2 linked regions of the Mytilus edulis genome follow. The protein of the gene in region 2 interacts with the protein of the main gene of each other region in a pairwise test. Links are inferred from orthologs where the notes say so. Each region holds a gene or a part of one and is shown on either strand. Other genes may lie near its edges.

Region 1 (10,806 bases), on a different chromosome or scaffold from region 2:
AAAAAAAAAGATATATCGAATATTAGGAAATATATATAGCCTGTTTTACAGGTATCATGTGATTCTTGCACAATGTGTGGTTGTTGTTCATATTTACTTTAAAAAAAAAGTCATTTTGGTGAGATTGCTTTTCAAAAGTTTTTAACATTTGAATGGTTATGCATTATGTACTTGTTCATTGGCAAGTCAATACCTGTACATTTAAGTTATTCTAAAATAGTCTGTCATGACAGTCATCTGTCATGCTTTTGTTCAATATATTATATAACCTTCGTAGGACAAATAGTTATCTTTACTTTTAAGCTTGTCCCTTAGTGTTTCATTATATGCAGCCTCTCTAGAATCTACCCAAAATTTCATCTTTCATAAATGAATGAAAACTTTTCTATTAGTATTTGGTACATATTTAGGACTTAAAATAAATATAAATTTTCCTATGTAATTGTTGAATGAAATAGAATACTATGATTGACTATGAGTATACCTATTTAGTTTAAGTGTATCACATTTTCTATTTCTATGTGTTCTTTCTGTCACACTCAATAATACTATGAATTAATATGTGTATACCTATTAAGTTCAAGTGTTTGTGTTTCTCATTTTCTATGTATTTTTTTAAATCACACTCAGTAATACAATGAATGCCTTATGTGTATACCTATTTAGTTTAATTGTATCACGTTTTCTATTTCTATGTGTTCTTTCTATCACACTTAGTATGTGTTCTTCAGCAGGAGGTGTCTCATGTCTATCAGTGTCTGCTGAACTTATTTCCATTTTTTCTAAAGTTTCTCCTATATCCTCTATTGTAACTTGGTCTCTTTCCAGTACAAAATTTGACATATTTCTTTCAAGTTCCATATGTACATTCCCTTCAGCATTACATAAATCCGATTCTGATTCATTTTGAACCATTACACTAAAATCTTTTTGTATGTCTTTGTTTTGTTTTGGTACATCCCTAGACTGTTGAAGATTTTGTATTTTGAATTTTGAAACTGGCTTTTTTATCATTTGGCCTGTAACTTCAGTAATCACTTTGGGTTTAACATTTTCTTTAGTTGAAGGGGAGATAACTTGTCTGTTTAGTGAAGGGGAGATAATTTGTCTGTTTGTTGATTCCTGTAATTCTGTCTCTATTCTCTCACTGATCATTCTATGTAGTTTCTCAACAAATGATTGCACCTTTGCCCCTCCATCTGGCAACGTCTTTAGAAATTTTCTGAAATATTCAATCACATATTTAATTAGCTAAAATTATCTAAACTAAAAATTATTTTTTAAAAACTTAGCAAATTTCACAGTTAAATGTATCCCACAAACTCCACTTGTAATGGTAAAGTAAACAACTGTCTGGCAGTCAATCATACCACTTCTGCCTGATTTCATCTACATTAATTTACAAAACTGCCACCGTTTTGGAATTTATATATATATAAAAGACATTGAACTAAATTTTAAATAATCAAAGCTACTCATTGAGCACACAGAGTTTATCAATATGAATTTATTGTGAACATGATGAGTCCTAAGGTCCTCGGTCATCAAACTTTACTTGGTGCTTAGAGTAAAAAATTTGTGCTCGAAACACCAAATCCAGTATTTTGATTGGTTGATTTCTGACTCAGAGTATGTTATAAAGCATGAAAATATAGTATATACCAATACACATAATTAACAGCGCCTGGTGATGTTTGATAGCCTGACCGGTTTCGGTCCATAAAGGACCTTCATCAGAGGCAGAATGGTGGATTAATGTTTGCACCCTATTTATATAGATATGGTAACCGGCGGCTGAGTTAACCAGCGGTTGAGTTAACCGGCGGTTGGGTTAACTGGCGGTTGAGTTGACCGGCGGTTGAGTTAACCGGCGGTTGAGTTAACCGGCGGTTGAGTTAGGCGGCGGTTGAGTTAACCGGCGGTTAAGTTAACCGGCGGTTGAGTTAACCGGCGGTTGAGTTAACCGGTGAAAAATCCCAGTGGGATTTTCCATGGTTACAATTATCTATATTTAGCCAATGTTCATGTTACAGTAAACTTTTTGACATGTTACGGTAAACATTTTTACACTATATGGTAAACATGTGACCTGATGATATAACCATATTTGGGCTTCAGCATTGGATAAAGGGTGTTTTAATAATTTAAGAAGTACATAGTAATCATTTAGTCTTGATCTTTGGCTTATGATCCACCTAAATATCAAGTCTTGGAATAGTATTTCATGGTAGTTATGTGATCTTAATATTTGGCTTATGATACACCTAAATATCAAGTCTTGAAATAGTACTTCCTAGTAGTCATGCAGTCTTGACCTCAGGCTTATGATACACCTGTATATCAAGTCTTGAAATAGTAATTCATGGTAGTCATGCAGTCTTGATCTTTGGCTTATGAAACACCTAAATATCAAGTCTAATAATAGTATTTCATGGTAGTCATGCAGTCTTGACGTTTTAGCTTGTGATACACCAAAACATCAAGTCAAAACTATTACCCCCCCCCCCCCTAACCAAACAAAATTTGGTTTAGGGGGGGGGGGGTTCTTATTGAGAATGCTTCATTTAAGCCTTTAGTACTCCTTTCAAGATCAAAGGTAGATGAATATTAATCCTCAGTGTTAAAAAGTTTTCAACACCTTAAGTTTGTAATGTAGGTATTACATATATACATCAATTTCAGGTAATCGCTAGGCTTACGCTTAGAGCTCCTATGCCAGTGAAAAATCAATAGGCAATATAGGAAAGGTATACTGACATAAGACGTCTCTAAACACATTAGCTCCATTAACTCAACCGCCGGTTAACTCAACCACCGGTTAACTCAACCGCCTGTCAACTCAACCGCCGGTTAACCCAACCGCCGGTTAACTCAACCGCTGGTTAACTCAACCGCCGGTTACCATATCTATATAAATAGGGTGCAAACATTAATCCACCATTCTGCCTCTGATGAAGGTCCTTTATGGACCGAAACCGGTCAGGCTATCAAACATCACCAGGCGCTGTTAATTATGTGTATTGGTATATACTATATTTTTATGCTTTTACATTTTTCTCACTGATACACATAGTTAATATGGCTTCTACTAACGAAAGCTCCATGGAGCTAATGTGTTTAGAGACTACTTATGTCAGTATACCTTTCCTATATTGCCTATTGATTTTTCACTGGCATAGGAGCTCTAAGCGTAAGCCTAGCGATTACCTGAAATTGATGTATATATGTAATACCTACATTACAAACTTAAGGTGTTGAAAACTTTTTAACACTGAGGATTAATATTCATCTACCTTTGATCTTGAAAGGAGTACTAAAGGCTTAAATGAAGTATTCTCAATAAGAACCCCCCCCCCCCCCTAAACCAAATTTTGTTTGGTTAGGGGGGGGGGGGGTAATAGTTTTGACTTGATGTTTTGGTGTATCACAAGCTAAAACGTCAAGACTGCATGACTACCATGAAATACTATTATTAGACTTGATATTTAGGTGTTTCATAAGCCAAAGATCAAGACTGCATGACTACCATGAATTACTATTTCAAGACTTGATATACAGGTGTATCATAAGCCTGAGGTCAAGACTGCATGACTACTAGGAAGTACTATTTCAAGACTTGATATTTAGGTGTATCATAAGCCAAATATTAAGATCACATAACTACCATGAAATACTATTCCAAGACTTGATATTTAGGTGGATCATAAGCCAAAGATCAAGACTAAATGATTACTATGTACTTCTTAAATTATTAAAACACCCTTTATCCAATGCTAAAGCCCAAATATGGTTATATCATCAGGTCACATGTTTACCATATAGTGTAAAAATGTTTACCGTAACATGTCAAAAAGTTTACTGTAACATGAACATTGGCTAAATATAGATAATTGTAACCATGGAAAATCCCACTGGGATTTTTCACCGGTTAACTCAACCGCCGGTAAACTCAACCGCCGGTTAACTCAACCGCCGGTTAACTCAACCGCCGCCTAACTCAACCGCCGGTTAACTCAACCGCCGGACAACTCAACCGCCGGTTAACCCAACCGCCGGTTAACTCAACCGCTGGTTAACTCAACCGCCGGTTACCATATCTATATAAATAGGGTGCAAACATTAATCCACCATTCTGCCTCTGATGAAGGTCCTTTATGGACCGAAACCGGTCAGGCTATCAAACATCACCAGGCGCTGTTAATTATGTGTATTGGTATATACTATATTTTTATGCTTTTACATTTTTCTCACTGATACACATAGTTAATATGGCTTCTACTAACGAAAGCTCCATGGAGCTAATGTGTTTAGAGACTACTTATGTCAGTATACCTTTCCTATATTGCCTATGTTATAAAGCATGCTAAAACATTTTATGACAAGGCCTTACATACATATTTTTAGAGTATGATTATTGTACTCAGAATCAGAAATTAACCAATATAAATGCTGAATTTCATGTTCTAAGCATAAACTTTGTTCACTTGAGTTCTGACTAAATTTAAATGACTGTAAAGCCAGAGACTCAATATTTTTTACCATCTAGAGTAAAAAATCATTATCAACATACTGGTAGTCAAAGCATGGACCCCACTGTTAAAGAACTTGTGAATCGAGGCTCCATAGACTCATCTGGTTTGTAACCATAAGGACATGTTATAAAACATGCCAGAACACAGAGTATTTTACGGAATATCAAAATCATTGTGATTACAAGATTCAGGTAACACAGAGAACCAGGACACACAATGGACATTCGTTAGTAATGCAATCAGAATTCTCATAAAATTCAGTCATGAACATAAAACAGAAAAAGCTCTGCATGTAGGCAGGTTATCACTGTACAAATGTATATATCAAAAACTTCATGAACTTACACCTTCTTCAACAGCTTTTCCTGCCTTTCCAACAATTCTTTCAACTCTGTGACAGATTTTGCAGACAAATTACCTTCTAGGTAATCCTGTGGTATGTGTTCCATTTCTAATAAATCAACAAATGTACAAAAATTTAAAAACTTTTGTCCTGTCAGTTGTCAATTTTTAAAATTTTAATATTATATAGAAAGCACACGGAACAATTCTAATTCAATGTATTTCAACAAGCGAAAGTTGAAGGATGTAATAAAATTCATTTTTTTTTTTTATTAATGTCTGAAACAGCTTTTTTCTTTACTTTTCAGAACCAACAACAGTAACAAATATGTATAAATATTGCAAAGTATAGTCTTTTCTCTTGAAATTAATCATGTATCAATGGAAAATATTGCAGCAAAAACTGACTTTTACATGTACATGTAAAATGAAACATAATCAACATTGAAGATCATGAAGATTTTTTAGTAAAATTTTATCTTTATAAAAATCTAAATAATACCAAATAAAAAAAAGATTTGATAAAATAAAAATCTATTTACATATTTTTTCCAAGAGTAAATTTGGGAAAATGTAAGTAGATTTTTATAAATACTATTCTTTACACCAGAAATGTTATTTATAAACAAGCGTATGAGTTTATTAATGACTAGTATATCGCTTTCGGACAAGCAAGACAGAGATGTATATTATACACCTGATAGTTCAAAATTGAAAAAGTTATCGGCCGTGTACACTCCTCAATACCCTCAGAAGTGAAACGATGCATGAACTTGCAAGTCTGACAGGAAATCGTTTGAATACCTGGACGTGTCATCTAAAAATACCTTTTGGGTTAATACCTTTAGCCATGCTAGGGAAGGTCCAAATTTATTTAAATCACATAAAAGAATTATGAACAAATTAGATTTTCGAAAACAATTTTCACTGAACACTTATTTATGATTCAAACTTTGACTCTTTAACTAATTCCCATATAAACAGTTTAAAAATGACAGACCATGGTTATTTAGAAAATAATAACATTTTCTGTATCAAGTTATTTAGTCAGATAAAACAACTGTACGATTTACAAGATATCGACACGCAATTACAACTACATCAGGTTACTATAGTTTTGGTCCTTTGTGGTTTATAGACATATCGTGGTTTCTGAACGGAGAAGATGACAAAATGGCGGCACACAGGGAATTAAATTTAAAATCGATGATGATCTCTTATCTAGCAGAATAAAACTTTAATATCTATGAATTTGAGAATTTTTATACAGAATGGACATAATATCAATTTTTGATTTTTTGGCGAAGTTTCCCTTTAAAATCTCAACCCTCCCCTTTTACAATTTGTTTATCTCTGGGCGCAAGCCAGTGTATAAAAAACAAACACAGCAAAATTCAGTTCAAAAGAAGTCAGAGTCTGATGCCAGAATATGTATATATATATATATATTTATTTTCTTTTAGCAGGTACAATTAAATAGTTATTTTTAAGGTGATTTTGGTTATTTTGTTTTACGTTTTGAAGTTTTTCTATAACTATAGTATAAGTGATTTAATTTGGTTATTTTATTTGTAAATTTAGGGATTTTATGATCATTCTATAGACTAATTTTTGTTACTACAAACTGTTCGATAATTATGTTACTGACTGAATTTTACACAGGTAAACAGGTAAATAAAAAGTTTCACAACTTTGTTGGAAAATGATCAATGTCAATTTTCTGCTTGTAATTTTTTTTATTTTACCTTGTGAGACCCTAACTATAAACGTACAAAAGATTATGATTGACAAATTGCGATGTTTTTACCTCAACAGTGAAGAACTCACTAGTAAACAAGTGGAATTTCGGACTGAAAATAAACAGGTAAACTCAGCCAAATTGAAATTACACCAAACTTTGGGCTGTTTAGGTCGTTTAACACCGCCGTAGTAGTAGTTAATAAGATTTTTTTACATTGAAATGGAAACTTATTGCTATAATTGCCCTTGCTGAAGTTACTGTTTGTAAACTTTATCTCATGACAAAAAAAAAGACATCCCACAGCAGTGATCCAGATTTACATTGGACCTAATCATAATCTATATTTAGATATTATTGCTGTTGTCTTTTATACAGATCTATCGATGAATAGTTAAATTACCATGACACTAAAAAAAATTATAATTTAAGTAATATGTGGAATAGAATATTCAGGAGGGTCGTTATACACCTAATTGCTATTTGTCCGCCATAACATGACATCACAAAAGTTCCCGTAAAATTTTGATGGCATAATAGAAAATATCTGACACCACAATGGAAAAGTGTTTGTTGTATGACGTCAAAAGTTTATGAGGGACAGATATCCAAATAGCGAATACGTGTATGGGGGTTCCTTCGTGACAAATAACGGTAAAAATTCTAGCCAAATGATGTTAACGGTAATTATTGGTGCATGTGGATAAATGTACACTTTCTTTTAGATGATAAAAATAATCAACTGATTTTAATAAATCACGCAAAAATTTTCCAAAAATAACATTAACAGTAATTACCTCTGATGAATCACTATAAGGATATTTTGATGAATCATGATAGATATTTTGACGAATCAAGGTGAAGTTTTAGATAAAAATAACAGTTTATAACGCCTGACGGTAAAGGCCATTCCTATCCTCATTCAGGGCATGCACAGCAACAATTTTGTTTCAACCCCACACCAATCCGTAGGGCTTTGACTTAAAGACAATAGCATACATGTGTAACATGAGTTTTTTAAATCAATGTAGGTAATTTTTTTATCCAAATATTTCAGTCAAGCTGTCTTGGGACAAAATGTAACTTTTTATGAATGGTTGTGCCATGAAAGCAAGTATACTATTAAATTAAAAGTAAATTTTCATTACTATAAACTGATACATGTACATGTACATATTTATGAGGATCTTTCCCGATCTGTGTTATTGCAGCTTAGTTTTCATAGTGTAGCTTATAGTAACAATAGATATATGCCATTAGTAAAAATATTTTGTTTTTCACTTTTTAGATGTTTAACATGTTGTAGCAAATAGCAAATAAAATGGCTGATAGTAGCTATAGTGATATTAGCTTTGACAAAAAAGGTGAGTTGTTTGTTCTTGGGTAAGCATAATTATTTTATTTTTTTCATTATTTTACAAACTTACATCCCAAAATGATTATGAAAATTTCAAAAGATTTATAATTTTAATACATTGTATATACATATATATATATACATGTACTCAATTAGTGCAAAAAAAAACCCTAGTAACTATAAATACAAACAGGTAGATGAAATTCAGTTTCATTGAATTTTTTTTTTTAAATATATGAAATCTTTGAGAATTTCAATACTCATGATATGACATTAAATAATTTAATGTGGAAAATTATTCAACTGCTTTTGTCATGATTATTTCACATCCTGTGGTCCCCAGAATTTTTAAATATCACGGACACCATGGAAATTAACATTGAACTGTTTTACAAAAAAATATAGCACCATGGCCCCTATACATTCAACTATAAAATCATAAAGATAGAACCATGGTAGAAAATATAATACCAGGTTTCCACAGTGTGTTAAGGCCCTTGGGAGAACACTGAAATTATTGTATACTGTAAACCATGATATGCCTGTCAAACAATTTATACCATAATTAAAATTTGTTGTACCAATTCACATGTAAATTTAACAGAAAGAAGAAGGCTTTCTTTCCATTTTTGAAATATTTGGCATTCTTATGTTTCATAGTACTTTATGATTAATAATTGAACCAAAAAATATATATTTTATTTTTTTCAATATCCAGAAGCTAATGCACTTTTCAAATCTATTTTCAACGTTATTCACACCATATCATGACAGTCTTTTACAAAATAAATCAATTATCTGAAACATGTATCAATAAAAATGTGAATAGAAAGAAATTTGGGAATAATATCAATTAGTCAGTAACCAAACAATATAAATTCTCTGGAAATTTCCAATACAAATGTATTATGCTTTTTTTCTACAGATGAAAATCTGATGAAAGTAGAGACTGTAAGTCCTACCCACAATAACAGATTTTCTTTCTCACGGACAAGTAGTACAGGCTCTATACCACAGGGATGTATGTCTTCAGCATCATCTGCACATAATACAGGTAAGGGAAATAATTCTGTAGTGATACTATCTCTATACCACAAAGATGTGTCACCATCATCGTTTGCCTAGGACAATTGTAACTCATTTATAAAATTTCTTTGTTTTGATTTATAAGTAGTCATTAAACTAAAAGATAAACCCTTACTAAGAACATGATTTAGATTCATTCACTACAATAAACAAAAGGAACATCAAATTTTACAATTTTAATGATCAAGTGCACTTATTCTAAATCAATGTTACTTTAAAAGATACCAGGGCCGTAACTACATTGAGGCAAATGAGGCAAATGTCTCATGTTGGAAATTTCAAAAAAAAAAACAAAAAAAACGGAAACAAAACATTGTCTTCATATCAAATTGTTTTCACTGAAAGTCTCTTGCAAAAAGCATGTTTTCTTTACTATCTGTTGTTGCCCCTGCATGTTTTCGTGATCCATGTTTTATTTTACTTTTAGTTTTCAGAGTAGATAGTCTATTGTTTGTACTTCTGTGTCCCGGGTTTTTCTTTTGTTTGTACTTCCGTGTCTTGGGTTTGTCTTTTGTTCATTTATTGTCCTACTTTATGACTATAGTCTGAGTGTTGATTTTCATTTGTAAGCGTTTGGTTTTGCAATAGTGCATGTCCACCGATGTCCAGAAATTGTGTGAGAAAATATTTTAAGAATATACGATGCTATTCTGGACACAGCAAAAAAAAATCGTTTCTGCATGGAGAATTGAACTTGATATCAAAGAAAACTGGCTCTTTTTTGTAGAAAGATAGCTGACATGGATTAAATTAAAGTAAGACCTCTAATTTCCTCGTATAAAGTCATCTATATAAATTATAAAAACATCAATGCATTTCAATATGACCTTTTACATTGAAGGGTTAAACTTGCATTAAGTTCAGACCCTTTAACTGAAAATAAAGGAACATGGAGTAAACGTGCACGGAACATAATCTCACACAAAGTCAATGCATAGAAACAAATACAATGATCAATGGTCAAAGTTTTTATTCTTGTTCTTCATCTTGATAGTTACTGGAGGGTCTTCAACAATAAAAGAATCATTAATACCCCAAAACAAGGTCAAGATGGTCCTTAGTGACGACTTTTCAGTACTAGTATAATTATAATAGTTGCACTGTCACTATATTTAAATATAATAAAAAAAATAATAAAAAAAGTCTAAGCACTATACAAGACAACAACAGAACGACAGACAGATCCGGTTTTAATGATTATGATTTTTTACGATTTTTAACCGGATTTTTGTGACAAAAATGTCGGTTATTGATTTGGGGATGTACGGCGGGCTGTCGGGCGGGCGGTCGGTCGGGCGGGCGGGCGGGCGGGCGGCAATCAAATGTTGTCCGTGCATTAACTCATGAACCGTTCAACCAAAGCTTTTAAAATTTTAATATGTTGTTACTGACAACTAAATGAAGGTCAAGTTCAATAATGGCGATTTTGACTTTTACTGTTCAGGAGTTATGGTTCTTGAAAGATTGAAAAATGGAGTTTCCAGTCGTTTTCGTGCATTTACGCATGAACTGTTCTACCTAAGCTTCCCAAATTTTAATATGTTGTTACTGATGACAAAATGGAGGTCAAGTTTAATAATGGCGATTTTGACTTTTACCGTTCAGAAGTTATGGTTCTTGAAAGATAGAAAAATGGAGTTTCCAGTCGTGTCCGTGCATTTACGCATGAACTGTTCTACCTAAGCTTCCCAAATTTTAATATGTTGTTACTGATGACAAAATGGAGGTCAAGTTCAATAATGACGATTTTG
Region 2 (10,649 bases):
CCTTCCTGTCTTCAAACAATGGATTTGATTCCAAGCAATAGGTAAATATAACGTCAAATTCATTGTGTCTTCTAGCTTATGATCTGAAATAGAAAATATTTTAAATAATTTAAAATTTTCATTGTACAATAAATGGAGAATGTGTCCATGAGACACAGATGATACCATCACTTGCATGTTATGTTATAAAGGGAAATAACTAGATACGGTAAATTCAGAAATTTTTGTGAGCATTAAATATTGCTGTCTTGTCATTTGAGACTAAAATGCGATTTTATTTTTTTGCGATGTTGAGCATTTGAGAAAAATACTGTTATTTAAAAAAAAAAATTCAAAATGCGAGTTTAAATTTTTGCAATTATGACCCTGTCGCACATGTCACATTTTTCTCAATAATTAAAACATCGCAATAATTTCTGAATTTACACTAACTATAAAAGTGATGCCACCCAAATTCCAATTTTTGGAAGTACATAAGAACAGTTAGATATAAGGACGTAAAAGGGTTACACTTAATGTCCTGCTCCCCATACCATTTCTAACAGCAATGGCATCAAATATTTAGGAAAAAATAAAGAAACAAGGGCAACTATGATTACATTGTTACAAATGAATGTAAATAAACACAGTTTTAAGGTGTTATGGGTTTTAGTATGGTTTCTTGTCTAAAAAGTAACAGTAACTTAGAACCAAAATGCATTGGCTGGACTATTCATTTAATTTCATGGGTTTTGTAAGAATAAATGAACATCAAATATACAAATGTTCAACAAATAACAAATTATATATAGACTTTGTATACAGACTAAAACACAAAATCAAATATCCACAAGTTTTCCTCAATCCATTAAAATAGGTACTCATGAAAATAAATAAATCCAAAGCATTTCAATGGATGTGTAAGGTTAGAAAATGACATTCAATTTCACATTTTATCAAACTTTTGGAATGAGTGGTGAAACTTGATTTGATTTTGAGTTTTGATGTTTTAACACCACTTTTAAGCACCCCATTTAGGCTATTTCGTGGCAGCCAGTATTTATTGGTGGAAGAAGCCAGAGAGTGCCCAGAGAAAACCACCAACATTCGATAGGAAAACTGAAAATCGTAGTCAATTAAGATTGGAGTTGAGTGCACACGCACAAACGGTGTTTGAACTCACAACCTCAGTGTTGACTGGCTAGGGATTACAGTAGTAACTACTTAGACCACTCGGCCACTGAGGCCCCTGTTGAAACATGTGTTACAAACCAATCTTTCAATGTTATTTTCAATCTCTGTGTAACTTACCTCTCAATCCAACCATACTACCATTGAGTGATGCGTAAAGGAATGTTATATTGTTTGGCATGTGGATTAATTCTCTTGTAGGAGTTATCTCCACCCACATTGATATAGATGTGTTCCTGTAACCATAAATTAATTATTATCTATATATAAATGTCTTAAATTGAATAAAGTGTATTAATGAAAAACAATGTTTAAGTGTATATGTATATTTCTTGTAATTTCAATAACCCTTCTGTGTCATTTGGTCTGTTGTGGAGTGTTGTCTCATGGGCAATCATACCACATCTTCTTTTTTATACTTGATGATTATACAGTAAATACAAACTCATTGTGTCGAACTGGGTTGAGTTGTAACAAAGATAAGTCAAGGAATTTGTCAGTTGCTCAGTGCATTCCTAACTGTTGTTTTGTTTCATCTAACCTTGGGTGACTTTATAAGGTGTAATACCACCATTGATTTTTCCCCCATTAGTCTTTGTTAAATTTGCACTTTTCAAAAAAATTGTGCATAATTCATCTTTGTTTCAAAGAAAGAAATACGTAACACGAGTAAAATTTTAAATATTTTAAGGGTTTCCAGACAGACCTAACTTTTAATGCAGGCTTCACATTTTATCAGTTTATCTCAGGATAAGCATAAATCTTAACCATGTTAACTTACACAACTTCATCATTTGTGGGTCTAGAGAAATGTGACGTTGGTCTTAACTTTGAGTATATATGGTGTAATCTCAATGGAGGTTCAAAATCTCCTATCTGTATGTCAGAATCATTATTAGTAATACAAAAGTCAACTTCAGCAAAGTTCTCTAAAAATGCCTGCCATTCCTGAAAAATAATAAATCATCAAAATCAACAATGTTAACAGCTCAAGTATGTAGTACAGTATAGCTTTATATTTCAAAGAAAATAATTGTTTGAAATAGCATGATTAACATATGCATGTTCTAGCTATAATGCAGCTAAATTGAAAGGCAGGCCTGTCCTGTCTGTCTTAAAGCCCTGCCTTGTACTTTTGTTTTCTAAAATGCCATAATATATTCATAATTTAATTTTCATGGTTCAATAACAGTTTATACTCAACATGCTCAAGTGATTCTTTAAATTTCATGACAACAACAAAAAAAATAATCCATTTGAATTGAAATCATAGACATGTTAGAATTAATTTAACGTCCTTTTTTTATGCTTTACAACAAACCTTAAAAATTTTTGGAACAAAGTCAGTAGGGGACTAATAAATGGAAGAGATGGAGTGTTATTGCCGATGAGACAACTATTGAACAGAAACCATATATTTATATTTGTAGTATCATTTATTGTACTCCATGTTTGTGATCCTCCCTAAAAACTGTCCACTTGTTCATGATCAATGTACTTACCTCAGTTAAATCTGGATTGTAGAGGTCATTAGATTTAAAATAATAAGACAGTGAAATCAAAGCTATGGCAAATGCTCCGAGACAGACCATGAACATCACCAGTGGAGGACGGCTGCTGGTAAATCCTTTCAGATTCTCCCATAATGTCATTTTGTCAGCCAAATCTCCTGAAAATAATGGGGATAATTAATTAATATTCAGTGAAAAAATCAAGAAAATCTTGGTTTCAGACTCTACGATGTCACTCACGTAAATGTTTATCACCTTGTTAATGTGCATTTCATCAAAATGATTCAGTATGGATCATATATTGATGTCTAATTTGCGAAAGTCAAATAAGAAAATTACCAGTTTCCCTCCAACATACGGACAAAGGGAAATAACTCCACCTATAATCACAACAATATAATTCTTTTGGAAAATAAATCTACCCACTGGCATTTACCTTTGTACAATTTACAATACTGGCTACCAGTACTTATCATGCTTTTCATTCTAAACATTTGGATAATATGCCAGTAACCAGTTGTCATTAATTACCTTAAATATAAGACAGTCAATCTTGTTTGTGTTACAGTTTAAAATCATACACATCTTCAGCACCTGAAGAGCTAAATATCCTTCAAATACTCTTGTTTATCATCCTTGAAATGCTTGATGGGGAAATATAACTTGATAAGAATTAAAGGCTATATGTTTCCCTGAATTATGACACTTTTTATCAATTAACACAATGATCTACCAATTTTTACAAGCAGGAAATGTGTTTTACCTGCATTTGTGTTTGTATCACTATTTAAGGCCATGGAAAATTAATTGTTGGTTTCCCCTAACATGGGAAAATTTTAAAGGCAGGCTTTTTTTTTTTTTTTTTTTATGTAACCATGTGTAATTTTATATCTATATGTTTTGTTATAATAACGGAACTATAATCTTGCATATTTCCAACACTTTTAGTTGTCTCTGCAAAAAAAAAAAAATTTTTTTTTTATTATTATATTATTATATATTTTTTTCTAAAGAAAAATTTAATGACCCGGCGGTAAAAAAATGACCCGGTTGGGTTAGGGGAAATCATCAATTACTTTTCCATGGCCTAATGTGAATAATGTCACTCTCTAGTATGGCAATAATAAGATCTTCAAATTTGATATCTGTCAGTGCTACATATCTGCAGGAACATATATATTAACTGTTCTTTATACTTGTATTTAGCTTTTTCTAAATTTGCCAAAAAAAAATATATAATGAAACTATAAATATGTGTGGGGAAAGAAATTTTTAAATGTGTATTTCTAAGGATTTTTTTTATAAATTAAATTGCAAGGTACATAGCTTGTGTTTTGTTTGTCAATTATATATACTGAATTAGCAACAATTTCTTGTAGTAATAAAAAGATTAACAAATTGATTTAATTATATGTAATTAATCTTAGAATAACAAATTCCTCGATATAACATTGTGTAATAAACAGATTAATCAGTTGATTTAATCATGTGATTTAATTTTCACACCTTCATTAAATGGATTATGTGTATTATTTCTACAGTTATAATAAACATTTTAATTAACTAACATTCTGGAAGCTGTTTGATTGCATAAATTTAACATTTGATAAAAGGGTTGGTGAAGTCCTAAGATGACATAAACTTTTAATGCTTCACTGATGTTTGGGCACCATGGGTGCTGAAATAAATATTGAGTATGTTGGAGGTTACACATTAAATGTGTTTTGACTAGGTAATTTACTTTACCATGTTTAAAGGATGCTGATTTACACAGTTGTTCTTTTTAAATGTTTTTGATTGTATTTTTTTTTATAATGTAACCATGGTCATATTAGTCAATTTCTTCTAATCAACAGTTCGGTTTCAATACAATTCATAAAACAATATCTGGAATCCTTATTTGAATGTGGAGATTTAATAAGTAATATCATGAATAATTTTGCTTGTTTTCCTAAGGGTGAAATAAGCAAGTGAAATGATTTAAAAAGATAACCATATAGTTTTACTCTTCTAGTTTGAACCCTTTTTACCAACGGTTGGTGAAATATGTAATGGTTTATTTTTATAAATTGTGACTTGGATAATCAGAGAGTTAACTCATTGGCACTCTTACCACATCTTCTTATATCTCCATGTTTATATTTCTGACGTTATCACATTACTTTAGTGAGTAGATTAAAATCAGACACAGTAAAAGAGACTATAACATTGGAACTGATCATCTGAAGTATTGCACACTTTTCGCATTTATTTCATCTTTAAAACAGAGTCAAAGGAACAATTATGAATAATTTAATCAGACATGGTACAACCTGACAACAGGCACTAGAATTGAGAATATCTGTCAATAGTAATAAAATATATGCAAACATCTAGCCTGTGATTAGTACAAGTTTCATTAGCATCACTCCTACCAGTAAATGTTCTTAGCCAGGCATGATTTTTAAAAAATTTTCTTTATTAATTCACAAAATCCTGAGGTAAAAAAAGATTTGTATAAGCTTTTTACTTTTAGAAAGTATACCCTGGGAACAGTATATCTATGTTAATATATATGTTCCTGTTTATCAAGGCTTTTCAATTGTACGTGTGCAATATATTTTGCAGCTTAAATTTCGAATTTTTATTTGCTAACTTCTTGTTCCGTAGTTCTGACATGCCAAATCAGAGATTATAGTGCTTCAAAGTTAAATTATTTAGCATGCATGACTCCATGTGATGAGTAGTTCTTCCACTGACAGAATAATCTGCAAAGACAAGAGTAAATAAAAACTCATTAAAAATTTACCAAATATATTACAGTTTATGATCAACTGTAAATTCACGACATCCTATCGCCAGTTTCAGCAGCAAAAACTTGTCAAAATGTTGTCAAATCTGGAGCATCAAACGTCACAACTTCCGGAACCCATTTTGAAAGGTAATATATCACGTGATTTCTATTCCACATGGCTTCTATAATCACCAAGGGGAACCGCCCACTTCTAAAGTAAACGTGGAAATGCCATCGAAGTTTGTAAAAACTTGGCATTAATTTTCAACATAATGCTATAATATCAATAAAAATACATTAAAGGGATATCTTCAAAAGTAATACGGCAATAAAAAATTATAGATAAGTCTAGAATAGGTGAATCTACTTGTTGAACTAAATAAATGGAACAGCCAAAACAAAACATGTGATTCTGAAGTTTGTGTATGACGTCAAAATGCTTAAATTTCATTGGACAAGGATGACAGATGCCAATCAAAATCCACGTGGTGTTGTAATATTTTGCACGGCAGCAAGTGTTTTGGTACCGCCGCCCGCCATGTTCTTTTAATATTTGTAAGAATTCAATCAAATATTTGAGGACACATAGTGTGTCCTCATGGATATATGAGTATTTCGGATGATAAACAATTAATGACATCTATAGAAGAGGGCTTCGGTTCTGGCGATGAGTTTGGAAACTTTGTTGGAAGCTGCGGAATATCTAGAATGGCGTAACAAGCCTAAAACACGTGGTAAGCAAAGCACATGGCTGCAGAAATTGCCTTATATGAACACGAAAACTACATTTTGTCGTTTGAACTTACAATTTTATTACAGTATGCACAATATTCATTCATGCAATAGATAATCTACGCTTCAATTTTTGTGTTATAAGGAAGATATCCATCTTGAATTTTTGACGGTTCCTGGTCGCTACCTAATTTGCATATATTTATGAGCATGATCACTCGACGCTTGGATTTTTTTTTATTTTTTGAAGGTGATAGTACATCAGAGGACCCACACGGATATTCATCACGAGTTGGGAATGATTCTGACGACTCTCCTGAATCCAGCAACTCTGGAAAGTATGCAGATGGAGATGAAAGAGAAAAAAGGCGAGCCGGAGGGTCTGTTCACGTGACATATTTTGACATGTGTATTTGCACACTAATAATATTGTCGATCTGATCGACCTTGAACACACGTGCTATTTGCCGCGTGTCATTGTTTACAAACAAAATAATAGACGTTTATTCAGTGCAATAAATTTTTCATATAATAATAATAAATGAAAAATGAGAGAACTTTTACAAATTATTCTCTAGACTACATGTCCAATCCTTGAACTTTTTCAGAAAATAAAAAAAAAAAAAAAAATCAGTTTTTGATGTTTTTCTTCCAACAATTTGAAGAAGAGCTTATCATTTAAGAATAATTATTGTTTTTCTTGAACTTTTTTATATCAACACCTTTGAAAACAAAATTTAATTAAAAAAATCAATTATGAACAAATATTGTTAAAAAAAACAGTAATAATGGCTTAGCACATTTGTAATTAAATGGCTTCATGGTTTCTAAAAATGTATCCTTTGCATGATTTATACAATTTGCGAAAATCTTCATCCATCAACTAGTCCAAATAATTATGACGTCTGGCAAGGCTATTTAAATTCTTTTCTGGGACGCTTTCCTACGAAGTCATAACGCTGAAGCCATTTTTTACGTCTGGAGTTTGAGGGGGAACTTTGAGACCTAATTTTGACATAAAATTTGCCTTGCAGGTTTAAAATTTTTACGTAGTTACAAAGTCCTACCTTTTTTGTGCTTTATTGATGTAAAATATTTCCAGAAGAAATGGTAAAATAAGATACGATTCCATTTGAGTCCGGCAAATATTGTATTTTGTTTCAAAAAGATTTCCCACAATAATCAATGAAACGTCACTTCCGGTGAATATTAAATATTAAAATCGGTAAGATTCAATGGACCCGAATTTCCGGAACGTTCGATTTACATTATCTGGAAATTCATGTCTTTCAAAATGTCCCGCTTTTAATATTTTATATTCACCAGAAGTGTCGTTTCATTGATAATTGTGGGAAATCTTTTTGAAACAAAACAAAAATCCAGATGTCATAATTATTTGGACTATCCATCAACATGATCAATACTTGTGAATAATTTCAGCAACTGAATAAAAAAGAACTTATTTCAAGATCTTAAAACAATTATGAACACTATTATTTGTGACTTTCTGTCTGTTTTTTGTATATTACTGAGTGGTTATGTCCTTCTGTCCCATGTATTTTTGGTTAAACTTTTCCCAGGAACTTTTTCTTGAAATTTCATTAAACTAATGCATATTGTACATTTTGTATGTGAGCATGCTTAATACTGTGTGACATCATAACTTTCCAATTCATTGATTAAAGAACACTTGTATGTACAAAATTGTGTAAAATTTCGTCACATTTTTCTCTGGAACTGCAAATCAAGGCTTTCTAAAATTTAGAATGAACCTTCATGTGAGCATACTATACCATGTTATGTTTGTTTAAATCCGTTATGAAAAACATGATACAAATGTTACATCCATGTACATGACATACAATGTATGATGTCATTAGTAGAATTATAAATATTTTTAAACATGAGTTGAATGCACACAAAAGCATTGACAAATGGAAAACACATTTATGATATCTGGTTTCTAATAATTAGCACTCCTTTCAAACTCCTGTTGCATATATATTTTAACTCATCATTTTATTATTTTAGGGCTGGAACAAGAGAAGTTCACAACAAATTGGAGAAAAACAGGTAAACTTGTAATGCTATATAAACACTTAATTATCAAAGTTCATCATGTTCATGGATACTGTTGAATTTTTTTGCTCCAATTTCTTGACCAAATGCTGTTTTAAACATAAGAATTCGAAGGTTGATGTCAGAATCTCTTCTTGGTTTATAACTGCTACATATATTCTTAGTATCAATTTGACACTGATCTTCATCTTCTACCTACATGATCTGTGTAACTTCTGTGAAATAATTTTGGCCACACTTTAAAATATTTTGGTTGTTCAAACCCTTCCCAAGACAGCAGGTGCTGAGGGGGCATAACATGTTTCTGTTCTCTAACTGCTAACTTTAGTTAAACAAGTAAATGTTTCAAAATTTGTACACAATGCTAATTACCGCAAAACACCAATAAAGTTTGAATTTTGGTGACGTCACTTTTACTGTTCTAGAGCTGTGCACCCATTTACAAATGGAAAACATCTGAAATTTTGTTTTCTTTCTCTTACTTTTGTTTGCCTCATCTAAATGTTATGAAACGTGTACACAATGCAAAATAGAGAAGCAAAGATATGGGCTATCTATCCATGACACTTAAAGTTAGAACATGCACAGAAAAAAACACAAAAAGTAAAAGAACAGAATTGAATGGAGAGTTGGCACTTTTTCCTTCTTACATCTATCTAGAAACAATATATTCTGTTATATTTGCTTTAACTCTTAGTTGCTGATGAACTATAGGTGGAGAAGCAGCAACAATAGTTGTAAAGATAAGTTGAAAGAAAAATATCTCGCCAACCTGCTGAATTATAAGTTAGATAAGACCACCTCAAAGTTTATACATAAAGCCATATTTGCAATTAAACGTGTACATGTACAGACTTCATTTTTATTTCTGTTGTATATATGTGACCAACACTTAACAATTATAAACAAAAAATATTTTATGAATTTAAAATAATTACTGGTTTAGAAAAACATTGTTTGATTAATTATACTTTTACAGGAGAGCTCACTTGAAAGAATGTTTTGATTACTTAAAGAAGCAGATTCCAACGTTAGAAGACAAGCGAACATCCAATCTTGGTATTTTGAGAGGCTCCCTTCGTTATATCCAGGTATAAACGTCAGATATTCAGACAATCATATTTTCTCTCTCTCATAATTTCATAGTTTAGAAAAAGTAATGTCTAAGTGCGACTTTGATTTTTGATCATATTTAACATGTTCAAGAGAGACCGAAATCAGAGACAAAGGGAAAAATAATATATATTTATTTCCCGTATCAGAGGGAAACATAAAGATTTGTTCACCCAAGATAAATCATATTTCACATGGGCATTGCCTGAGGGAAATATGACTTTTCAAAGGTGAACAAATCTTCATATGTCACAAAGCTAAGGAAAATGAATGTTTTATTCCACTGCCTATACTCTTTTTTACTTCTGAATATAAAAATTTACATAATTTTTTTCTTATTCCTTTTGTTTTATAACTAAACACAACATACACAATGATAATCAGTACAGATTTAAAGCTAATTAATTTTTTTTTTTTTTTAATTGTTTTTAGATTTGAAATAATTTTTAAAATAGACCCTATCAAAATATTTCATTTAAACATTAACCGCAGGTAAAGTCGCACAAGGCAATCCCTACGTTCAGAGGGGAATATGAAGTTTTGTTTGACATCACATGATAGTTTCAACCAATCAAATGTTTTTATACAAGCATGACAGGTGTTGGCCTTAGAAAAAGTGAAATTTTTACTCCAGGATAATAAACCAGTTAACAGTATTAAGCATATTATCATAAAATGAGTATACACAAAACAAACTTTTTCCTTCACTATATTTATACCAAATAAACTATAGAAAACGAACAAAGATTTATAAATCAAAATGATGTCATGACTCTAAATTATAATTCAATGTCTGACTATAAATCATACAACAACAAATGACAGGTACATGTGTACTGTAGCTTACAAAATAAATGATTCAGTAGACACTACTTTTAAGGTGAAGAAGAGATATCCAATATTCTGATCTCTGTCATGTCTGTAGGACCTCAATATACTTCTATTAAAAAAATGAAATAGTTAAAATTCCCCTACTAATGATCAAATGGTATTAAACTCCTACTCCTCAGATTTCTTTTATATCTTTACTAATATATTTTTTATCCTGTGTATGACCTGTTTAGAAATGATAAAACCCTACTGATTTAACAATAGTAGGTCAAGGTTATAATTAATAAACAAAGAAAACAACAACAAATCATAATGTTTTAAGAGGGTTACACATCTAATATACATTTCTCATAAAACACAGTAAATTTTTGTTTGTGTTGAAAAGTAGTTTTCTGTAAAATATTTTTTTTAGAAAATCTCTCATAATTTAGTATCTAAAT

What was found. The genes of interacting proteins can lie anywhere in the genome.
Region 1: the proteins of max-binding protein MNT-like (region 2) and max-like protein X interact in a two-hybrid assay, tested with the Homo sapiens proteins (2 studies listed by BioGRID and IntAct). The link is inferred for Mytilus edulis from reciprocal best matches to the Homo sapiens genes MNT and MLX.

Annotation. Positions count from the first base shown.
Region 1 is NC_092347.1:30,992,242-31,003,047, reverse strand, and holds the start of max-like protein X, read left to right. Parts: upstream 1-6,635; 5' UTR 6,636-6,738; intron 6,739-7,900; 5' UTR 7,901-7,933; coding exon 7,934-7,976; intron 7,977-8,892; exon of another isoform or gene 8,893-8,894; coding exon 8,895-9,023; intron 9,024-10,806. Other genes in the region: DNA-directed RNA polymerase II subunit GRINL1A-like, read right to left, coding at 659-1,222, 4,878-4,983. UniProt on the Homo sapiens protein: Transcription regulator. Forms a sequence-specific DNA-binding protein complex with MAD1, MAD4, MNT, WBSCR14 and MLXIP which recognizes the core sequence 5'-CACGTG-3'. The TCFL4-MAD1, TCFL4-MAD4, TCFL4-WBSCR14 complexes are transcriptional repressors.
Region 2 is NC_092349.1:3,784,192-3,794,840, reverse strand, and holds the start of max-binding protein MNT-like, read left to right. Parts: upstream 1-5,906; 5' UTR 5,907-6,121; coding exon 6,122-6,188; intron 6,189-6,436; coding exon 6,437-6,566; intron 6,567-8,217; coding exon 8,218-8,259; intron 8,260-9,244; coding exon 9,245-9,356; intron 9,357-10,649. Other genes in the region: transmembrane protein 248-like, read right to left, coding at 1-83, 1,291-1,406, 1,952-2,118, 2,673-2,822. UniProt on the Homo sapiens protein: Binds DNA as a heterodimer with MAX and represses transcription. Binds to the canonical E box sequence 5'-CACGTG-3' and, with higher affinity, to 5'-CACGCG-3'.